3 linked regions of the Arabidopsis thaliana genome follow. The protein of the gene in region 1 interacts with the protein of each later gene in a pairwise test. Each region holds a gene or a part of one and is shown in the gene's direction. Other genes may lie near its edges. The genes, in order: AT1G30080, AT3G06435 and AT2G18240.

Region 1 (3,757 bases):
CAAAAACAAAAAAGTTACTAGATTCTTGGGTTGGTTACGAAAAAAATAAAATTGGGTCACTTTTGTTGCATCATTTCATAAAGCAGGCTACTTTACATATGTTTTCAGATCTCTATTCCATTTAATATATTTGAAATTTTCAGAAATTAATCAATATCCGATATACAGTATAACCTCTATTTGGGACTGCAAAATTTTATTAATTTAGAGAGGTATTAATTTATTGATAAATTAATATTTATTAATTTATAGAGAGATTTTCTTAATTTGGTAACTTTTTAAAAAAATTTATAAGATTTTTTTCATTATAAAAAATATATTTCTAGAACCAGTTACAAATAAAACATAATAATAATGTCTAGAAAACATTATTAAACAAATAACAAAAGTTTTGGTATAGTAAAATATGAAAACTATAATCAAACAAATAACAAATATGAATTTAAACAAAAAATTATTATAAATATATTTTAAAGAAATTTTTTACATATAATATATATATATAGTTGATATATTTATACAATTATTAATTTATGATATCGATGAGACCATATATTTACATAGAACTTTCCAAAAAATTATTATCTTATTAATTTATCGATTTGTGTCATTTTTTACACTAGTCCCAACTCGGGACCGGAAGAATTTATTAATTTATAAAGGTTATTAATTTATAGAGGTTATACTGTAGTAAGAAGTCCGTTCTATAAGAAAAGTAACAACCCAAACTTCCAAAAATCTGTACAAAATGAAGTTGAATTACAATTATCACCTGGTGTATAGTTAGAGCTTTTATTGTTTTAATATCAAACTGAAAGAAAAAAAAAATTGTTTCAGACAACTAAATTATTGGCTAGGGCCAATTAGGCTGTAAATTTACATATCAACTTTGATTAACTTTTCTTTTTGTAAACTTGTTTAAAACCGTTTTTTTCCATTGATTGATTAATCGAGTAATTAATTTATTTTATTTCATCTAAAACATAAATAATGAACCGTTGTGCAACCTAATTTTTTTTGTGATCGAGCGGGTTGACTAGATGAGTTAGGTTGAATTTAGAAATATTTACTTTTACATGTAAGCTAACGGTATATAAATTCTGAATTGAAACGTAGGATCAGTTTTAAATATGCGACTAAACTCCGTTGAATATCAAATATAGGATTAACTGAGGGTCATACTATAATTTCACGTGAAATACAATTCTAACAATCGTTACAATGTTTTTTAAAAGAGCTTTTATTTCACAAGATGCAAATTGCAATACTATATAAATATAATAAACTGAAGATAAGCGCACTATCCTTCTTATCATTATGATGGTGTGATTTCTACTCTTTACGTTCCATTTTTTTGGTTCACCCAACTACCAAATTTGGGATCCTCCAAATTCTATGCCAAAGACATAATGTTTTTTTTTTCTTTGTGTTTAATAGACATATTGTTAAGATTAAAAACCTATTATAGTGGGCAATTCAATTTTTCCCACCTTTGCCTTTGTCTGAAGAAAGTGTCTTCTTTTAGGCCACTTTTTCATTTTTTTTTTTTTTTGGACTGACATAGTTGGCAATGTGTTGGAAAGAGACAATCTAAGATGTCATATTTTTTTCTTCTTGGGTCCAAAATGTTTTATGAAACCCATGTTGCCTCACAAAGAATGTTTTTGGCAAACACTATCTATTTTTACAATAGACTTCCATAAGATAAACCTATTGCCAAACCTACTCCCATTACAAAACTAACGAGTATAAATTTAAATAACTTATTGAATTATTTTTGGAATTAATCATATTGTCACTTTTATTGTAGAAACCCTATGTCTCACCATAAAACAAAGGCAGGCAAAGTAAAGTATTATCTCTAAATTATAAATTAATAATTATTCGTCGCCTACTTGGTCCCATTTCTCAATTCTTCATCTCTATATCTATCCCCACATTTCATTGCATTGATTCTCTTACAAGCACTTTCTCCCTCAGTCTTTATCTCCCTCTTTCTCTCTTCTCCATGTCTAACATGTTTAGCAGAATTGCCATGACCAACTCTATCGTTCTTCTTCTATTTTCCTTGACTTTCTTAGGTATCGTTTTTGAATAATTGCTTATTTCTGTCTACCAACAAACAAAATTCATTATCTCAATTTCAGTTTGTCATTACACTTTAATTATTTAAATTTCTCTTACATTTTTTTCACAGAACATGGATTGTTGTTTCAAAGGGTCTCCTCTCTTGGCATCAACTATGGTCAAGTCGGCGACAATCTTCCTCCACCGGACAAAGTTCTACAACTCTTGAGTTCACTCCATATCAATAAGACAAGAATCTATGACACAAACCCTCGAGTGTTAACCTCATTTGCCAATTCCAATATCGAGCTCTTTGTCACCGTCGAAAATGAAATGCTTCCCAGCTTAGTAGACCCTCAACAAGCTCTCCAATGGGTCACTACCCGTATCAAACCCTACTTTCCGGCCACCAAGATCGGTGGTATCGCCGTCGGCAACGAACTATACACTGACGATGACTCAAGCCTTATAGGGTTTGTTACATACATCCCCTCATTCCTATAAATTGTTATCCTTTTCAAATCTTGGTCCATTACAAATATGCCCTACTAACCAAATCATGGTAGTCATGTGGGTATCATCCTGAGATCCTCTAGTTCAAAAAAAGAAGAAAGTATTCAACCTCGTTATTGCTATGATTCGCAGGTATCTTATGCCTGCAATGATGAGCATTCATGGGGCTTTGGTCCAAACCGGACTAGACAAGTACATTCAAGTATCGACTCCGAACTCACTATCCGTCCTTCAAGAATCTTACCCTCCATCCGCCGGATGTTTTAGGCCGGAAGTAGCTGGCGTAATGACACAGCTACTAGGTTTCTTGCGTAACACGAATTCCCCCTTCTGGATCAACGCTTACCCTTACTTCGCTTACAAGGATTCCCCAACAAAGATCCCATTAGACTACGTCCTCTTCAACCCTAACCCTGGAATGGTTGACCCCTATACCAAGTACCGCTATGACAACATGCTCTACGCTCAAGTAGACGCTGTGATCTTTGCCATGGCGAGGCTTGGCTTCAAAGACATCGAAGTTGGGGTCTCGGAGACTGGATGGCCGTCTAAAGGCGATGGAGATGAGGTTGGAGCCACTGTGGCCAACGCAGCCGTTTATAACAAAAATATTCTAAGGAGACAACTTCAAAATGAAGGAACGCCATTGAGACCAAACTTGAGTTTTGATGTTTATCTATTTGCTCTTTTCAATGAAGACCTTAAACCAGGACCAACCTCTGAGAGGAATTATGGATTGTATCAGCCTGATGAGACCATGACTTACAATGTAGGTTTATTATCGTCGTCATCATTAACATCAACATCAACTACTTCTTCAACTTCTATTATTTCCCTCACTTCCTCTGCCTCCACGGTATGTATCAACATTTAACTTTACTTGCTCTGTTTCTACTAGATCTCTTACTTCCATATTTCTTTCTTTTTAATCTTTATATAGCACATTAAATCCCTTGAAAAAAGCTTTGATTGAGAAACATTTTTAAAACAAATTCTGACCTGTTGTCTAAAAAAGAAGAGAATTGTGACGTTTCTTTCTTCTAATTGTGACGTTTTATACTTGAAAAGTTCGGCTTTTCTAGAACATATTCTTACCAAACATATTTATTTTAACATATTTCTTGATTAATAGCGATAAAGTATACATTTTTTTTGGAGCGATATGATTAGTACATGA
Region 2 (3,757 bases), on another chromosome or scaffold:
AACGCTTCGTTCAAACTCGTCTGTGAACTCCATAAAACTTATTAAAAAATCCGTCCAAAAAAATATATAGTATAGTTTGGATCGCATGAAAACATATCTAAACATAAGTCTTTGTTAGGGGTCGGATTGGGCCCTTCTCAAGTAGTTCATCAGCTCGCCCTTCTCAAGAAGCTCGTTAGCTCGCTCCACTTCGTCAAGCTCTTCAGATCGCCTTTAAGCTCTTCAAACTCGACTCGTCCTCAAGCTCCTCAGCTCGTCTTCAAGCTCTTCCCATCACTCAGCGACCATTTCCTCGCCTAGCTGTCAGCTAGTCAGCTCGTCCAACTCCTCGTCTAGCTATCAGCTCATCCCTCGTCAACTACCTGCCGACCTACCTCCAATGACGGCCTAGCTCACTTATTCTAATATGAACTACGTGTGGCTTGATCCCTTTCTAAGGGTACGTAGGCAACCTTTTACAAGGTTCAGCTATAAAACGAATAAACTCTATTCTTCCTCGGACATCAAGTTCGTCTTCCGGCCTCAAGCTCGCCTTTCATCTACAATCAGCTCGTTCTTACTCCATCTATGCTCGTTGAAGAAATCATCCTTTGTAATCCGTCCAATTCGCCTAAGTCGCAGGCTCGTCTTTAATAGAAAGATTCTTCCTTCCCTAGAGATCCCATTTTCGTACTTGTGTGATTCGTGCATCAACAGTTGGCGCGCCAGGTAGGGGGATAGCTCGAAGTGGCTTGATCCCTTTCTAAGGGTACGTAGGCAACCTTTTACAAGGTTCAGCTATAAAACGAATAAACTCTATTCTTCCTCGGACATCAAGTTCGTCTTCCGGCATCAAGCTCGCCTTTCATCTACAATCAGCTCGTTCTTACTCCATCTATGCTCGTTGAAGAAATCATCCTTTGTAATCCGTCCAATTCGCCTAAGTCGCAGGCTCGTCTTTAATAGAAAGATTCTTCCTTCCCTAGAGATCCCATTTTCGTACTTGTGTGATTCGTGCATCAACAGTTGGCGCGCCAGGTAGGGGGATAGCTCGAAGATATCTCTCAAAACTACGACCCCGCGACGAAGCAAAGTGATAACAAACAGACTACATGGAGCATTCGATACCGACTCGTCAGGCTCTGGAAGTAAAACGACAACGTCGATCCCCGGGAGAGCCAGTCACTCGACCTCTTCATTCGATATCGCAGCATGTTCTCCGACAAGAAAAGGACTTCAAGGAACTATCGACCCCATCATCCTAGGCGATGACACTTCCAGCCCGGCAGTCAGGACAATAACACTGACCAACGAGGAAGTGCCGCCGATCAAAGAGGAACATCCCATAACCTCATTAAACATACCGACCTCGTTATCACTCACGCCTAACCAAGAACAAGAGGAGAAGTCATCAGGCGGGCGTCACTTGGAGAACCTCGACGATGACACTCCCAGCTCGGCAGCTCGGACGATAACGTCAGCGCACGGGAAGACAACTCAAATAAAGGAAGAATACTACTCGGTATGTAAAAAAATTTTATTATTACTTTTTCAACCTAGTTATTTGCAGGTAAAAAAATCATTACTTTTTAAAAAGGCTAGCAGACGAATCAACACGGTATGCTATTAACTAAAACCAAAATAAAAATAAAACTTAGTGGTTTTCCAAAAATAAAAAACAGTGAGCGGATGACAGTTGTCAAAAGCAGCACATGGTTTTACTTACTTTCCCGGTTTAAAGAAAGAAGCAAACCCTAGTTTTAGAGCATCTTTCTTTCTTTCTTTCTTTTTCCCGTCGCTTTTAAAGCATCTTTCTTATCCGTCGCAGTTCATCTTCCTAACTCCATCTCTATAAAAGAAAAACCCCGGCAACAATGGCCAAAAAATCTAAGCGAAACCAAAATAATAAAGGAAAGACGAAGATTCCCCAGAGAGTTGAAGTGTTTGGTGTGAATGATCCAGTAACCAGATTTGGTTGGACTATCATGGCTTTTCTCTGCGTTTTTGGAGCTGTGGGTGCTGTGAATGCCTTGGAGATCCAGATGGATGTCTCTTATCTGGTAATGTTTGTTGTAGCTATCTATGTGATTCCAGTCTTGCATTCCATTTTCTCTGAAGCTCCATCTCCAGTTTACAGAGCACATCGATGGGTGAGAACTGTTATCCCTCTCATACTGCTTACCATAATCTACTTTACTGTCTTCAATTTCCAAACCCTTGCAGCATCTGTTTTGATCATATCAGTGGTTTTTGGAATTTTCGTGTTGGTTCAGTTGGTTTTCCCTGTAGAAAGATTTTACTTTTTTTATGTAGTGCTCATTTTGTTATTTGGATGCTGCTCAGCTGTATTTGCTGGTCAGTATGATCCCAAAACCCAGCCATTTGGGTTCTGCCTATTAACTCTCTTTGTTTTTGAAATGTTTTTCTACTTTTTCTACTATCCTGGGCCTACTAATAGGGCATTCAAATTCTATTAGATTACTCTCAAAATGATTGTCAGATCTAATTCACAAGAGACTTTTTTTGCATGTATAAATATCTGGATATTTAAGCATGACTTAGACTATCTATTTTTTTTTTTATAAATTATATTAGTTGATCTTGTTAGTTTGGTTAGGAAGGTATTAAAATATTACAAAGTGGATTTTTTTCTTAAATGACCGCTACACTGCTTATCTCGAATTTGGAATATTTCCATACTAATGTTTGGGAGTAGCCATATAGCCTATTGTTGGACTACCATCATAATATAAACTGTTAGGGTCTAATCTAGATTTTCGATATAAATGTGATATTTGTTTTAGGAAAGCTCGAACCCTTGGAGAGTGTTTTAGCACATCCCAAATCTCACTAATTACGGATAACTATGTATATATCTATTTTTAGATCTCTTATATTTGAAAACTAGCTAGATAGATTTTTTGAGACAAATCATTACCATTCAAAGCACCTCATATCTAACTAGATGAATGTGGTAGATGCAACTCTTTTTTTTTCTTTATTAGAAATTTAGGATACAGTCTTTATTAGTGAGACGCTATAACTCAACGGAATATTGTTGTGACCAACATTTACCTAATTCGTATCCTTACAATCTCAAGATGGCAGCATAGTAAACGTTGGATATATGCTTTATCTTCTTCTTTTTATATCCAAAATATATAACGTTGTTTACCGTAATGCCGTCGAAAATGAGTATCATAGGGGAACTTTTTTGTAGACGTTGACAATTCAGTAGGGACCTCAAGAATACAGAAGAAGGAACAAAATAAGGAATGCTTCTGATTCATTGTCCATTGACGAGAGAACTTATTGGCCTTTTGCATGTAAACTAATAAATACATATCTTTTTTTTTGTCTAAAAAATAAATACATATCTTAAGTGTCGTCTTTCCACTAAGCAGATTTCTCACCTGTGCAAATATTGTCCCTCTAAGAAAAACCTTTTCTTTATGTAAACATTGTCCCTAATCATGTTTTCCAATTATGTCTTGGATACTAGAAAAAATTCGAAAAGACACTCATATTTTTATATACATCCCAATATAAAAATTTTTATCCTACACTAGAAAACACATATAAAATAGAAATGGCGATGCATGTGAAGATATGATAAATTAAGTCTAGGCCTCCGTTATGACCCGAAACAAAATTTCTAAACCGACCGAGCCAGTTTTGAAAAGTATCCAACCCTATTAACTCATCATAAAAGTGTTTATTTTCTAATTTTCAGCTCAATATATGTCAATTCTTATAAAAGCCCCCAATATGAATACCA
Region 3 (3,757 bases), on another chromosome or scaffold:
GAGACTGCCAAAGAACACTGTACCTTAATAAGGCCACTGTTCTTGTCTAGCTCGTACTTAACCTTTCCACCTTTGCTAATTTCAACAACCTGACAAAGAATTCAAGCACATTTAACAATCACAAGACCAGCACTAACTTTCTTAATATGATCTAATCTTCCGCAATGTAGAAGAAGATAAAACTTACACAGTTGAAAACAGTAGGAGCTTCTGGACCTGAAAGATTCAACAAACAAAACACTTACATCAAACAATCAACACTTGACTCACATGACTATTCAAAGTAACAAAGACAAGGATTCTTACCAATCTCCAAGTCATGCCAAGGATGAGCAGCAGCTGATCTGTGAGTGAAGGCTGCAAAGTTTCTCTCATTCAGCGTAACATTAGGGTTCCTGAGAGGGAAAGCATAGCCCTTGGCGCTTCCTTCATCCTTGATTTCAGCCATATCGGATGTTCACTATAATATGCAAACAAAAGGAGAGTCTCATTCAATCATATACCAAACTCAAAACAGGCCATATAAATTATTCTCACTACTTAACCATTTCATACAATAACCACCAGACAAATCCTTCAACATTCCAGCAGAATCCAATCTTATAAACCATAAAAAATGACTGTTCAAATCCGAGCAGAGAAATGAAGCACACATTTCTACGATGGTTCACTGTTCTAATGCAACTCAATATCATCTTAGGCAAATATCTAACAACGCGAAAGGCTAAAGTATCAGAGATATGCGAAGAACATAGATCCATCATCGATTTCATGTAAATACACATCAAAACACTCAAATCACCAACTAGTCTAAGCTACATCAATTGGAAACTGAAATAGAATCGAAAAACAGAACTAATCCAAACAAATGAAAGATAATCGACGAATCGATCATCTGTGAAGACCAATCCAAGTACTCGGCGCTCAAAACGAAACGAAACCAACAAGAAAATAGCAAAATCAAACGAAATCGCTTCGATTCAACAAGAAGTGATCAAAACAAGTACCATTAACAGGAGAAGATAAACTAAAAATGACCTAATCGACGGATTTCGAAGGAAAAAAAGAAACGAGAGAAGAAGAAGAAGATGATCTTACAGATGAAATCTCAAGCTTCAATCGCGAAACCGAAGCAGAGAATCCGTAACGTTTTTTTCTTTCTTTCTTCTCTCTTCGTTTAAGAAAACAACAAGATTTTGCAGTTACAGTAGAGTTTTCGTGTGACTGTGTGTGTGGCGCTTCTTTATGGGACGTTGGAGGAGGAAGAAGACGCTGACGTCACTTTTTCCTCGGTTATTGTTCATCGTCAATCGTACGATGAATCGTGTCCGTTGAATTTGAAAGGTTAATGGATCTGACGGCCATGGTTTTTCAAGATTTTAATATCTTTCTTAAAAAAATAGTTAGTGTACCTTTTAATTGAACGAAAAGAAAAAGAGACGACAGTGATGTACCAAAAAAGTATCCGACTAACAAATTGTTATATGACGCGTGTCCTGAAAATTAGGCAATTTCTTTCAGTGAATTCCTTATTTTATTTTGTCTGTTTTTGGCAAACAAATTTATTATTTTCTTAGGATAAAGAAATGAATTTATATCACTCATTCTTCTTTCTTTCTTTTTTGTTTTCACTCAAAATCAGTCACTCATTATTCTGTGTATTTATTATTTTCTTTTTTGTTTTCATTATTCTGTCACAAAAACAAGTTGAATAACAAATTACCACTTTTGATATTTTTCTTTTTTCATAAGTATCTAATATGTCAAATGGGAAAAAATGATCATTATTGAGCTGTGGGGTTAACCACAACCAAAAAAACTGTGTCGTATGGATGTGACCATCGAGCAGTGTTTTTTTGGTGACTGTCAACTAGAATTACAAGTCTAGAGAATCATACGCAAAACGTTAAAATTCGGTTTAAGGTCCCAGAGAAACAAAAAAGATTCGGTTTTGGATTCTTTCTGGTTGGGCCTCACAGAATATCGAATCGTTCCATGTAAAAACCAAAAAAAGTTCAACATATTTTCCCTACTGGGCTTAAACAAATATTTTATGAAGCCCAACATGTTTAACAAAAGTATCTTACTTTGCGACACGTGTCATGTTCCTTCTCCCCACGTCATTCAGTTTCTTCCTCTTCTTTCCAGAAAAACCAAGACTTTAATACGACTAAGAAAAATTCAGACGAAACTGAGAAACTTTCAATTTAATTGGTTCAAAATCATCCTAAATCGAGTAGATTGTTTTGAATCGATTTTTGAAGTTGATTCGAAGTTCAGTGATTGTGATTAGAATTTATAACCAGACCCAGTTTTTGAGGTGAAGAAAAAGCAGATTTTGTGTTCAATTTCCATGGAAGACGAACCAGGAAGCGAAAATGAAGCAGACACCATAGTTGCTTCACCACTTGCAAAATGGAGAATCGAATTCTCGAAATCGTTTCAGAATTACTTAGACAGATCTGCTCCTAACATTGTTCGAAGATGGCTTGTGACTTTAGTCGCTGCAGTGATCTATATCTATAGGGTTTACTCTGTTTATGGATACTTCGTTATCTCTTATGGCTTAGCTACTTATATCTTAAATCTCTTGATTGGTTTCCTTTCCCCTAAAGTTGATCCTGAACTTGAAGCTTTGGATCCTGATTCTTTACCTGTTGATGAGTCTGATGAGTATAAGCCCTTTGTTCGTCGTCTTCCTGAGTTCAAGTTCTGGTAAAATTTCTCTTTTACTTTTGATGATGGATGATTTTGATTTAGGTTTGTCGAAAAGTTTGTGTTTTTACCATTCATTGTTAAAGTTCTGGTAGATTTCTTCTTTTGAGACAATTTGATTGATGATTGTTATGATAGTGAATTCGTATGAGAACTGATTTAGGTCTAATGGTCTGCTTTAGGGTTTGAATTCTCATGAAAGTTTGTCAATTTTGATTTTCAGGTATGCAGCGACTAAAGCATTTGTTGTTGCATTTGTGATGACATTCTTCTCTTTCCTGGATGTGCCTGTGTTCTGGCCGATCTTGTTGTGTTACTGGTTGGTTTTGTATTCTTTAACTATGAAACGCTTAATCGTGCACATGTTCAAGTATAGATACTTTCCTTTCGATGTAAGAAAGCCTGTGAAGCTGCTCAAGTTTCTTGTAAACAGTGTCCTGACCTTTTTAAGACTCAAGGTAAATCGTGCAACGGGGTGATTTGTATTCGATTTCTTTTGGATAGTCTTGAATCTCTGCTTTAGAAAGTTAAGAGTGCTGAACATAGATTGTGCTGATGTTTTTGACAGAAGGGTGATGGTGGAGATGATAGGCCCAGCAGCAGCAATTCATCTCAGGGAAATGAAAAACAAGATTAGATGCGAACAGTAGATCAGGTACTGATCTCGACGTGGTGATAGGCGAAGCAAGAAAGGATACAAACTAAGGATATCAAAGTAAAATATACTATAGCCATGCTGGTGGAATAGGAAAACAAAGTTCTTGAAGCTTAACAGAACTAAGAAATCTCTCTGAGTTTTGAGTAATCTCCTGCATTTTCCGGTTTTTGCATTGTAATGTGTAACAGTGTATTTTACAATTATACGTTTAAATGAATTTGGGAATCACAAGTAGGAAAAAGTATTCTTTACAGTTCCAGGACTTGGATACTACTCTGGACACAACTAATCACACAAAGCTGTGTTGACAGCCTCCAATACCAAGCACTGGTCCAAATCTCTTTGCAGAAACAGATACAGATTGGTCATCATACTCGGAGAACT

Evidence for each region.
Region 2: the proteins of AT1G30080 (region 1) and AT3G06435 interact in a protein complementation assay, tested with the Arabidopsis thaliana proteins (one large-scale study listed by BioGRID).
Region 3: the proteins of AT1G30080 (region 1) and AT2G18240 interact in a protein complementation assay, tested with the Arabidopsis thaliana proteins (one large-scale study listed by BioGRID).

What each region holds. Positions count from the first base shown.
Region 1 is NC_003070.9:10,551,419-10,555,175, reverse strand, and holds the start of AT1G30080 (Glycosyl hydrolase superfamily protein), read left to right. Parts: upstream 1-1,880; 5' UTR 1,881-2,008; coding exon 2,009-2,081; intron 2,082-2,197; coding exon 2,198-2,540; intron 2,541-2,712; coding exon 2,713-3,436; coding exon of another isoform or gene 3,437-3,454; exon of another isoform or gene 3,455-3,757.
Region 2 is NC_003074.8:1,968,801-1,972,557, reverse strand, and holds AT3G06435 (uncharacterized protein), read left to right. Parts: upstream 1-1,773; 5' UTR 1,774-1,843; coding exon of another isoform or gene 1,844-1,853; coding exon 1,854-2,456; 3' UTR 2,457-3,199; coding exon of another isoform or gene 3,200-3,217; 3' UTR 3,218-3,522; downstream 3,523-3,757. Other genes in the region: AT3G06436 (uncharacterized protein), read right to left, coding at 1,562-1,609, 1,844-1,866, 1,946-2,153, 2,195-2,218.
Region 3 is NC_003071.7:7,933,113-7,936,869, forward strand, and holds the start of AT2G18240 (Rer1 family protein), read left to right. Parts: upstream 1-2,131; 5' UTR 2,132-2,353; coding exon 2,354-2,715; intron 2,716-2,938; coding exon 2,939-3,173; intron 3,174-3,283; coding exon 3,284-3,352; 3' UTR 3,353-3,757. Other genes in the region: PPa2 (pyrophosphorylase 2), read right to left, coding at 24-89, 188-216, 307-448. UniProt on the Arabidopsis thaliana protein: Involved in the retrieval of endoplasmic reticulum membrane proteins from the early Golgi compartment.